2 linked regions of the Arabidopsis thaliana genome follow. The protein of the gene in region 2 interacts with the protein of the main gene of each other region in a pairwise test. Each region holds a gene or a part of one and is shown on either strand. Other genes may lie near its edges.

The links.
Region 1: the proteins of TED6 (region 2) and IRX3 interact in a protein complementation assay, tested with the Arabidopsis thaliana proteins (one study listed by BioGRID).

The regions. Positions count from the first base shown.
Region 1 is NC_003076.8:5,735,925-5,743,410, forward strand, and holds IRX3 (Cellulose synthase family protein), read right to left. Parts: upstream 5,577-7,486; 5' UTR 5,484-5,576; coding exon 5,409-5,483; intron 5,007-5,408; coding exon 4,811-5,006; intron 4,682-4,810; coding exon 4,403-4,681; intron 4,149-4,402; coding exon 4,055-4,148; intron 3,961-4,054; coding exon 3,694-3,960; intron 3,613-3,693; coding exon 3,267-3,612; intron 3,180-3,266; coding exon 2,916-3,179; intron 2,839-2,915; coding exon 2,626-2,838; intron 2,547-2,625; coding exon 2,333-2,546; intron 2,238-2,332; coding exon 2,041-2,237; intron 1,951-2,040; coding exon 1,597-1,950; intron 1,517-1,596; coding exon 935-1,516; 3' UTR 706-934; downstream 1-705. Other genes in the region: AT5G17410 (Spc97 / Spc98 family of spindle pole body (SBP) component), read left to right, coding at 99-238, 368-491; BBM (Integrase-type DNA-binding superfamily protein), read right to left, coding at 6,618-7,342, 7,425-7,486.
Region 2 is NC_003070.9:16,574,239-16,577,349, forward strand, and holds TED6 (tracheary element differentiation-related 6), read left to right. Parts: upstream 1-1,520; 5' UTR 1,521-1,713; coding exon 1,714-2,064; 3' UTR 2,065-2,303; downstream 2,304-3,111. UniProt on the Arabidopsis thaliana protein: Involved in the secondary cell wall (SCW) formation of vessel elements (e.g. protoxylem and metaxylem), thus promoting tracheary element (TE) differentiation.

The sequences.
Region 1 (7,486 bases), on a different chromosome or scaffold from region 2:
GTGCTTCTCTTTCGTGCAACAAGAGCAAAAATTCTGAACGCACTAATAATAGTGTAATGTTTATCAATATTTTACACTCATATTTACTGATGGTGCAGAAAATGGAGAAGTTGAAATCAGTGTGTCTGCAATATGCTGCAGCCACACAGTGGTTGATATCATCGTCTATCGACATCAATAGCCAGTCTCATCCACAGAAGACAATGATAAGAGACACAACCGTTACAGAGTCCATATTGTAAGTAGTAACAAGGAATTGTTTTTCAAACTAATGGCTACACTATCTCTACAAAAGCCGTTGCTGTTAGAATTTTTGAACTTCATTATCACGGTATTGTTCTAATATGTCTGTTACGTGTTCTACCAGCAATTTCGAAAGGGAGTTCAACTCGGAGTTGCAGAGCTTAGGACCAGTCTTGAGCAAAGGCTCCCAGGCTGAGCCATACTTGACTCATCTCTCCCAGTGGATCCTTGGTGTTTCGAAAGAATAAGAGGTGAGACTTTAACTAAACAAACTCAGGCAATTCAATTTGTTTTTTAATGTTATCAAATGATATTCAGCTTGAGAAGTTGTTATGAGATGTGTGCGTGTGTTTAGGCTTTTGTTGTCGTTTCTTTATTTTGTTTGTGAACTCCACGATATAAGAACAAGTCTCAGGCTCTCTGTTAAAAATTTGCATTCAAGATTTGTGGGTTTTCACTGCAACTACATGTCTCTTGAGGGAAGTATCTGTGAATCTTTTACTGTGTAACTAAAAAGTAGTTTTGTTCAAATTTTCTTACAATGCATTACTCGCTCACAATAAACCCAGATCCATCTGTTTTACTGGCTAATATACAATAAACAAAATCCAATTATGCAATCCAAAGAGAGAAGTGAAAACACTCTCGACAAAGTACAGAAAAAGTTTCAGAAGACGAAAAAGATTTTGCTTCAGCAGTTGATGCCACACTTGGAAGTGTCAGGTCCTTTGGTCTTGAGCACAAAAGGATCAATTCTTACCCAAAGCAAAGAGAAGATAGATGCCAATAACACTGACCAAATCACCACAATGGTTGGTGTTCTGTTCTGTCTACCCATCAGACCTTTGAGGAATGGGTAGAGATGAACAATGACCCAAAAGGAGAAGAAGAGTTTACCAAATAGAGGTCCCCAAGACTGATATCCATTGTTAATGGCATCTGAGATGCCTGCAACAACGCCAACAATGTTTATGATTAAGACAGTTGTTGGAGGGATCAGCAGTGTTGTCCATTTGAATGCGTAAAGTTCTCCAAAGTCATCATCATCTGTTGCCTTTGATGTGACGGTGAAGTTTGTGTCAATGCCTGCTAAGATTTTGAGGAGACCTTGGACAACCGCAAAGAGATGAGCTGAGATTCCTCCAATGACCCAGAATTGCTCGTTTCTCCACCATTCCTCAATGCTAACTCCGCTCCATCTCAATTCCAAGATTCCCGTTACAATGATCGACATAAACAGTGAGATGAAGAAGAGACTAGCAAATGTGCTTATCTGAAAGAAAAATTGGGAAAACAGATAGTTAGCACATTTGATGCAGCTTCTAAGTGCTTTTCTCTGATAATTTTACTAACCGGTGGCATGATGAATTTGTCAGTAAGGAGACAGATGGCTGGAAGGATACAGTAGGCAAGAAGTGGTATAGATGTGAAGGGGTAGATTGTTGTGTTGGCATAAGCAAAACGCTCAAGCCACTTGAGTTTGCCTCCTTTGTAGCCATACCAGAGAGGACTGTGCCGGCTGAAAAATATCTCAACCGATCCAAGTGCCCAACGCAAAACCTGGTTTAACCTGTCTGATAGATTAATAGGAGCTGAACCTTTGAATGCAGGCCTCTTAGGCATGCAGTAAATAGACCTCCATCCACGGCAATGCATCTTGAATCCCGTCAAAATATCCTCTGTGATAGAGCCATAGATCCAACCCAGCTGCAATTTCGAGATACACAAACGTTTTTTACAATGGCCAGCTACTAAATCACAAATAAGAAGGTGATTTCTACGATTCAGTATTATTACCTCAGTTCCCCACTCAGTCTTGTCTTCATAACCGCAGCTTATGACATGGATTGCCTCTTTAAGGAGCACTGCAGGACTTGATGACGGAGGAACACCACCTTCTTCCATCAAAGTTGAGGTTACAAAGATGGATGATTGCCCAAATGTTTTCTCAAAGTTCATTTCAGACATCAAATGCTCCTTATCACCTTCTGCTCCTGCCAAAAAACACTATCAGATCCGCAAGATTCCAACATAAACGAAATCTACTGCAAGAATGGACTGATATTATAAGGTTGTTGGGATAATTTACCTCCAAGGGCTGCTACGTCACCATTCATGTCATTCTTGGAAAATTTCTTATTCTTTCTCCGGCGCCCAAAGCAAGGACAACAACCACAGCTTATCATCTTTGGACGTTTAGGACCCTTTGGTGGTTCATAACCATACAGAGCTTGTCGTTTGAAAACACAACCAGTACCAACGTAAACTGGACCTTGGATTCCATCTAGACCTTTCATATTGATCTGTAGCAAACAAGAGTGTAAGCAAGAGGGTACATTTTCATTTAGACCAGAAGTTGGAAAAATATGAATTGAGTCTTACATCAAAGAAGACTGTGTTTCTGTTGGCGTAACGATCGTTTGTGTCAATGCCATCAAACCTTTGAGGGAACTGAACATAGCAGACCTTCTTTCCAATCTGAGGATCCATCAAAAAACACATTGCTTCCCTCACGGCCTTGCTGTTGTTTACATAGTGATCACAGTCCAAGTTCAGCATGAAAGGAGCATTTGTGAGTACGCCTGCCACTCGAACCTGACAGAAGTATCAGGTTAGGTCCAAGACACGGAGATCAGTTTCTTGTTTGGTCCAAGGCAGATCAAGAAAATTACCAGGGCATTCATGGCGCCAGCTTTCTTGTGGTGTTGAAAACCAGGACGCTTCTCACGGGACACGTACACAAGCCGAGGAAGCTCATGCCCTTCGACATCAAATCCTCCGCTGTGGCCGAGGAAGACTTGGATCATACCGGGGTGGTCCTTGGTGTTGTTCCCTGGCCACGGTGTTCCATCTTGCATGATCCAACCTTCTAGAGGAACCTTTGAGGCCTTCGCCACTTGAGCGTTGATCCTGACCTTGAACTCCTCATATTCTCTCTGTCATATGTCAATTTCACTTATGAAGTTTAGATTATAGTGAAAAGATGGGTGGTGGTATAACTAGATCAGGTGATATACACTGACCTTCATGGCTCGACGTTCCTTAACAAATGTTGGGTGGACTTTGTCCTGGAGATAATCAACTTTCAACGTGAAGTACATCTCCGGTGCCCGTGGCTCTATGGAGAATTTCTTACAGAAGGGAACCCATTTTCTTGCAAACTCAGCAGTTTCCGAGAGAGATTCGAATGTAAGCATTGAAGCACCGTCGTCAGAGACATAGCAGGAGATTTTCTCAACTGGGTAGTCCATGGCCAAGATTGACAGCACAGTGTTGGATGTGACGAGGGGAGGCTCCTTCAATGGGTCCACCGTACTGACAAAGACATCTACAGGGGCAAGCATATTTGGTTCACCTTCTCTCTCGTACCTGTATAAACAAAAAATATTTACATCCAAACTCCAACGTCATAGATTTTAAGACTTCTACTTGAGAATCTGTGGATTTTACCTGAGGGAAAGCCGATCTAGATAGGTCTCACGTTCAATAGGGAACCACTTGGGGAACTGATCAAGAATCCAAGAGACAGCGAACCAGATTTCACAGATCACAGAGGTCAGCCATAATCCCAGAGCATCATGCACTGGATTCAAGAGCCTATACCGCAGAAAAACTGCTAGAATCACAAGCCTAGCGACGATGACCATCCGATATGGATTGATCTTGCTTGAGGCAATGGGAACTTTCCGCGAGAGTGGCTGCCGTGCCTCGTCGATCCTACAGCCATTTCCAGTCAAATCCAAAATTTTGTAAGCATGAATCCAAATCATACAAAACTGATGTCTTAGATAAATGTTTGTGGAGGCATTACAGTCCCATCTCAGGATCATCATCTGGTTCTGGCCCAAGATTTCCATGCTGGAGCTTCCAGTCATCCATTCTTTCCCGCCATCCTCCCTCACTCCCTACCACATTAAAATTACACACATAAACAAAAAGGAAAGTATTGTTAGAAAAAGGGTCTGCTGATGAATTTCATAGAAAGAATGTAATAGAACCCAAAGTCCATGTTTATGAAACTATGTCCCTATCTACTATTAAGCTGGAAGGCCTCATACTTATGTTATTTGCACATATGGAGATATGCATGACCCTAACTAATCATCACTGTGAGACATTCTTAAATCTATATGTAAGTTAACATTTCCATGAGACTCACCAGCTTCAGATGATGGATATGGGTGCACACGCTTATGAAGCCCATGTTCTCCATTACCATAACCTCCTCCAACTGGAAATTCTCCACTATGACCACCAGCTATAACAGGTGGGAATCTCCCATTCTCATCATCCTCAGGACCTCTTCCATAGCTCATTTTCCCATAAAGCATAGCCTCAGCAGAATGCTTATGCTTATCTTGTTCATGTTCGATATTAAATTCATACTCAATATCATCAATATCTTCTTCGTCTTCATCTCCCTCCACTCTTGGGCTTCCTTCAGAAACCAAAAAACAGATCATTACTCTCCAAGTTCAAACTAAAAAAAGGAACAGCCTTTTTAAATTTTCATAGAGGCATTTCGTCGAACAACACAAGAGCAGAGGGAGATTAATAAATAACTTACCTCTGAGACGCTTGTAACGAGTCTTACACTGAGGACAGTTTTGTGTTCCTTCTCTTCTCTCGTACTCATAGCAAGGTCTACACGCCGGAAAACCACACTCATTGCAAGCTACGAAGAGGTCTCCTTCTACTGTTAAACCAATCTGATCTCCACATATCTCACAGAATTGTCCATCTAGATTCTTCAGAGGCTTTGGCTGTTATAATTACACAAAAGTTTAAGTTCCTTAAAGACGAAATAAAACCTGAAATTTCTAATCAACAAAAAAAGATTCTAATGAAGTAAAGATAATAAAAAAAATGACAGCGATTAAAATGGTTAAACCTGACTTCTCAACTTAATATTACCAACAAAATTATTATGTTTGCTAACAAAGATATGAATTTTCTACAACATTATTGCAACTACAGAATACAGATTATAAATTTTTGTCTCATAATAAGAAGATGATTTTAAAAAATGATCATATTTTTATTCCCAAAACATACGAATTTTTAAAAAATAGTAACCAAATAAAACGAAAAAATGCAATAATATTTTACTAGCGTTGGTAAAAAAAAACTTTGGTAAGTGATGAGAAAAAGTAAATGTGAAAAACCTCTTCATGGTTGTGAATGACGACTAGTTCATTACGGTTATGAGAACCGGCGACAAGACCGGCGCTAGCTTCCATAGGGACGGCCGGAGATTAGCAGCGATCTTGAGAGAACAAAACGGTGATCAATGAGAGACGAATAAGTTTGGTTTTTATGTGTGAAAAGCTTTTAGTTTCTCTCTCTGTATGGTACATAGTTTGTTGTAGAGTCTCCATTGCCTTCAAGCTAAGCTTTCGTTTTATATTATTTCTTTTTTGTAAAAACAACTGTTTTAGTAAAAATTTCTACACAACTGCAACAAACTCATCACTCACATCCATCAGCTGATGACATGTCTTTCTTTCATCGTCGCGGTTTCCTTAAGCTTCTCTTTTTTATCCTTTGCAGGTCTCTCTCATTTTACTTACTGTCCTAATCTCATTTCCTTCTGTTTTCATTATACTAATTATATATGTTCATTTTATTCAAAAGGATCCTATTATTTTACCCTTTAACAAAAAAAAAACTATATACAGTATATGCATGCTGATAATTCGTAAATATAATAAATCTGGTATCTTATTATATAAAGTGATCGGCCAAAATACTAGTAATTTTGAATTAAAATTAGTTAGGGGGTAAGGTTTGGTGAGAGGAGTGCAAGCCAAGTTACGTTCCCTGTCCTTAATTAGGTGAATTTTCTGCATACATAAGCTAAAGAGAATGTAAAGATCATATATGCCTTTGATCTTCTTCACCCTTTCTTGTTCATTCTGTTTCCATGACAATTCCTCTGCGCCAATCCTTTTTCTTTTGGAGTCTGCGGATAAAGATCTAGTCCATGGGACTAGGCAGGTTCAGAAGCACAACGGGCTGGGCCTTGACCAGCCATGGTTGTTTCCAAATACAAAACAAATCGAATCAAGTGGGCAGCTACTTGAATTCTGTTAACATCGAAACCAGAATTTTGAGTCTCTTGCACCTATCAATACAAAACCAAAAAAAAAAAAAACTTATGATTCGGAAACAAACAACAATTTTATAGTTATACAACTAAATTAGACTACACTAATAAATAAATAAAATGATCCTCAATCTGAAAATTTTATCCAAATAATCGAAACTATGAAAAAAGTTATAAGAAAATTACCCAAAAAAAGGAAAAAGAAAAACAGAATCAAACTGTTCGCAACATACAAAGCAAACAACTAAAAGATCTTTTACTTATTTTTCTAAGTGTCGTTCCAAACTGAAAACGTTGGAGCCCCTTCTCCACCACCTTCCCCGTGAAAGTACATGTTAGAGCTATGGTTATTCGAAATCGCCACCGGAAAATCTCCTCCCGGCGACTGCTGAATCTGCTGTTGTTGCTGATGCTGAGCATAGTAATAATGATTTCTTGCGTTGTAAGCAATCTCAGCAGCAGTAAAGGGATCGTAATTAACCGATGTTCCAACAGGGATTGCGAATCCTTGATAACCACCATAACTAACAACATTTCCACAAACGGTAACAGAATCATCAGAGGTCGAGCTATGATGATCAACATTAGTCATGTGACTCGGCGAGTTTCTCAAGAAGTGTTGTTGTTCCTCCTCTTGTTTGAAACAAACCCTAGTACTCTCGGTAGACAAGTTTCCTCCATTGTAATAACCAACGTACCTCTCCTGCTGTTGCTGCAATAAGCTCAAATCCATTCCCTGATGATGCTGAAACGCAGTGTTTTGCCAACCGCTAACATTATTTGCACTCTCTGAAACGTTATTACTAATCATCATAGCTGGAACCGGATTATTAACGTCCTTGAGACGTTTCGCAGAACTACCAATAGGTAGACTCGGGCTCTCGAGGATTGCTTTAACATTGTATCTGTTCATGTCGAAGTTAGTCACTGCGCTTAATCCTCTGAATTTAATGGCTGCAATGTCATAAGCCTCAGCAGCCTCTTCCTGTGTGCCTACATAATTTGTATGATTCACTTAGATATATTTGTGTATATTTAATATCTTATAGTATATAGATTTTATTGGAAAATGTACCGAAAGTTCCCAAGTAGAGGTCTTTGTTACCGGCGACTCTTCCGATCCTAGCTTGCCACCTT
Region 2 (3,111 bases):
GAGTAACTTCCTTGAGAATCCATATTTGAATACAGAAGCTTGCTTTGGTCTTCTTGAGGATCATCTCCATCAAAAACATGCACGTTCTTCATATACTTTCAGCCGACCAACTATGTCATCAAAAGTTATGGTGTTAAGATCTAAGACTTGTTCTAGTGCAGCTACTATGTGAATGTATTTTCTTCGTGGAACACTCTTAAGAAACTTCTTAACAAGTCTTGATTCTTCAATAATTACACCTAAAGCAGCTGATTTTGCTGAGATCTCAGATAACTTGCCAGCAAAGTCATATATTTTCTCAGAATCCTTCATTGTTAATCGGTCAAATTCGGCCATGAGGGTTTGTAACCTAGCATCCTTGACTCTCTCTACCCCCAGATGTCTTGATTTGATTGCATCCCATACTTCTCTTGCTGTATCAAGTTCTCCGATTTGTAAAGCTAATGCTTCTGGGATTGATTGAAACAACAAAGCACAAGCAACATCACTCTTATCTTCATCAAACGGTTCTGTCACCTTGTCTATCATGTTCCAAGCTTTATGAACCTTTAGTGCCCTCTTCATCCTCATGGCCCATACCGTGTAGTTGATAGCGTTTAGCATAGGACATTGGATTGAAGAGGATCCACTAACTTCTTTCGTTGTTCTAGCTGCGGGAACGATATCACTCATTTCTTCTTATGATTGATTCAATAGCCTCACGCTCTGATACCAAATCTAGAGTTTAAGAAAGATTAAGAACTCAAAATATAAAGAATTACTCTCTTTATTACTTTAGGAAAATAGCTCAAAACCTAAAGCTCTCAATCTCACAATCTCTCTCAAAAGCTCATAAGTTATACCACACATTGGTATCTCCTTATATAATAGAGATTCAACATTATCCTAATCATTAGATAACTCCTAATGAATATTCTAGATAACTCCTAGAATTACAAGGAATTCCTTTTCTCTTAAATAAATAAATGACTTATTACTTAAGTCTTCTTCAAGCTTAATCCAACATATATTGCCTTCTTGGTGGGATAACATAGTTCAAAATACCGAGTTATTCATTGTTGGAATGACTGGTAGAGGTGAAGTTGTGTTGTCACCGTACTGTCTAGTACTAGAACCATGTTACATTGATTAATTCAACCTCGAGAGGAGGAGTTTCACAAGAGTTCAAATACAAGGTCTTGAAGTGCTTATAAGGGTACGAGAGTTTACACTTCTCTAGACTATGCTGAGAATTTGAAACTTATGTAGGGTTCAAATCTTATTTTTAAGCTTTTGTCTAGTTTTGGATAAAAGAACAAAATATCAAAAATCTTTTGTATGTTCATATATATTTTATTTTTTTTAATTAATATTTCATTACTTTTCTTTAGTATATGGAGTATTTTTATGAAACAAGAATTGTGAGAATTATGAATCTTACCTCTTACAATTCTTACATATTTTTGGATTACACCAACAAAATAAGATATTTTGAGCTGAGTGCCTGTTTTTCTTGGCTTTTACTCTTTTTTTTTTTTTTTAAACATTCTAGGTTAGCTTAACAAAAACAACAAGCAAACAAAACCTTAGGATGGGAGTTAAGTCATTACAAACTTAGCAGCAACCTATACTCTCAATACTCACTACAAATAAGCCCCATGATTCTCCATCTTCCTCAAACCATTTCCACCTCAAGAAATAAATCATCAGAGCCTCACACATCAAACACAAGTAATGGCCTCCACGGATTCAGTTTACCGTCCCACACCAACTCCAGACCATGACACTACTGTTGTAGTAGTTGTGTTTGTTTCTTTGGGTTGTGTCATGTTCTTGGCGTTTCTAGCGTTTGTTATCTGGTTCTTGATCAAGAAGAGATCCAGGAAGCACCGTGAGAGATCTGAAGCGGTTCGCGTGGATGAACACTTTAAGATGAAGGAAGCTATAGTCGAAGGACCTAATGGACAAAAGTCTGTGGTGTTATCAGTTGAGGATGATGTTAAGATCGAAGACGCGATCAAGAGAGAAGAGAAAGATCTGAAGAAAGATGGTGGAGTTGGATCATCAGTCGTTTCCCGTTCGTGAATGAGCTTTCTTCATTCATAATGTTACCTATCTATTTATTTATATTAAAATTGTGGTTGTGTGTGAATCATTTGTTTGGTGAAATAAAAAAAAAGCATCTGAAATATTTATTTAAATTCTTTGGACAAAGATGGTTCTTCAAACTTGGGTTGGTGAATGGTGATGGTTTTTATGTTCTAGGAGCGAACTTTTATCTCTATCTCTCTAAGAAAAGTAATCTTTCAAAAAAAACTGTAGAGAAATAAAATAGATAGTTGTTTTTGGTTAAAACAGATAATTTGTAACTGTAACTCGATAAGAATATTAATTAAAAAAAACATACAATGTCAAATGAAATCATACTTAAAATTGGACATTTTTCTATTTGAAAACTTGGTATTGGTATACTAACACATATACCATGTTAATCTTCTCATTATAGTTCTACTTAATATTTACCAAAACAAAACAAAAAAAACAATTATACGTATTTAATTAACAAAACAAATACATTAATTCTGAAGATGGAGAAAAAAATTGTGTCTTGATAATGCTAACTTACCAAGTCTCCATACATGATAAGAAAATTACACACACATATATATATATATATATAAATATGTCATATATAAGTTTATTTTTGAGCTAAATCTTCAAAAAGTTTCTATTGTAATTTCTAAGCTTAAACAAAAATTGATACATTCATTGTCTAATACTGTTCTGGTTGAATTCAATTTTATATTCAATTAAAATTAATATTTTCTTACCAAACATCACATTCATACATAAAATAAACATTGGAATTATCATTCTGAAACTAATACAACATTTAAATATTAGAAATCCTATAAAATAAAAATTCGTCCTTTCTTTTCTTTGTCAACCATAAGATCCAATGGCTCGTTGAATACGTAGTTACGTACAACTGGCATTCTCGTGTACAAAGTCACTAAAACAAAAACAAAATCCATTATAGATATTAAAACGACTAAATTTAATTATAGCAATAACAATTGAACAGCAAGATCACAAATTTAGAATTCAAGAGCTTAAAAAATTCATTAAAAG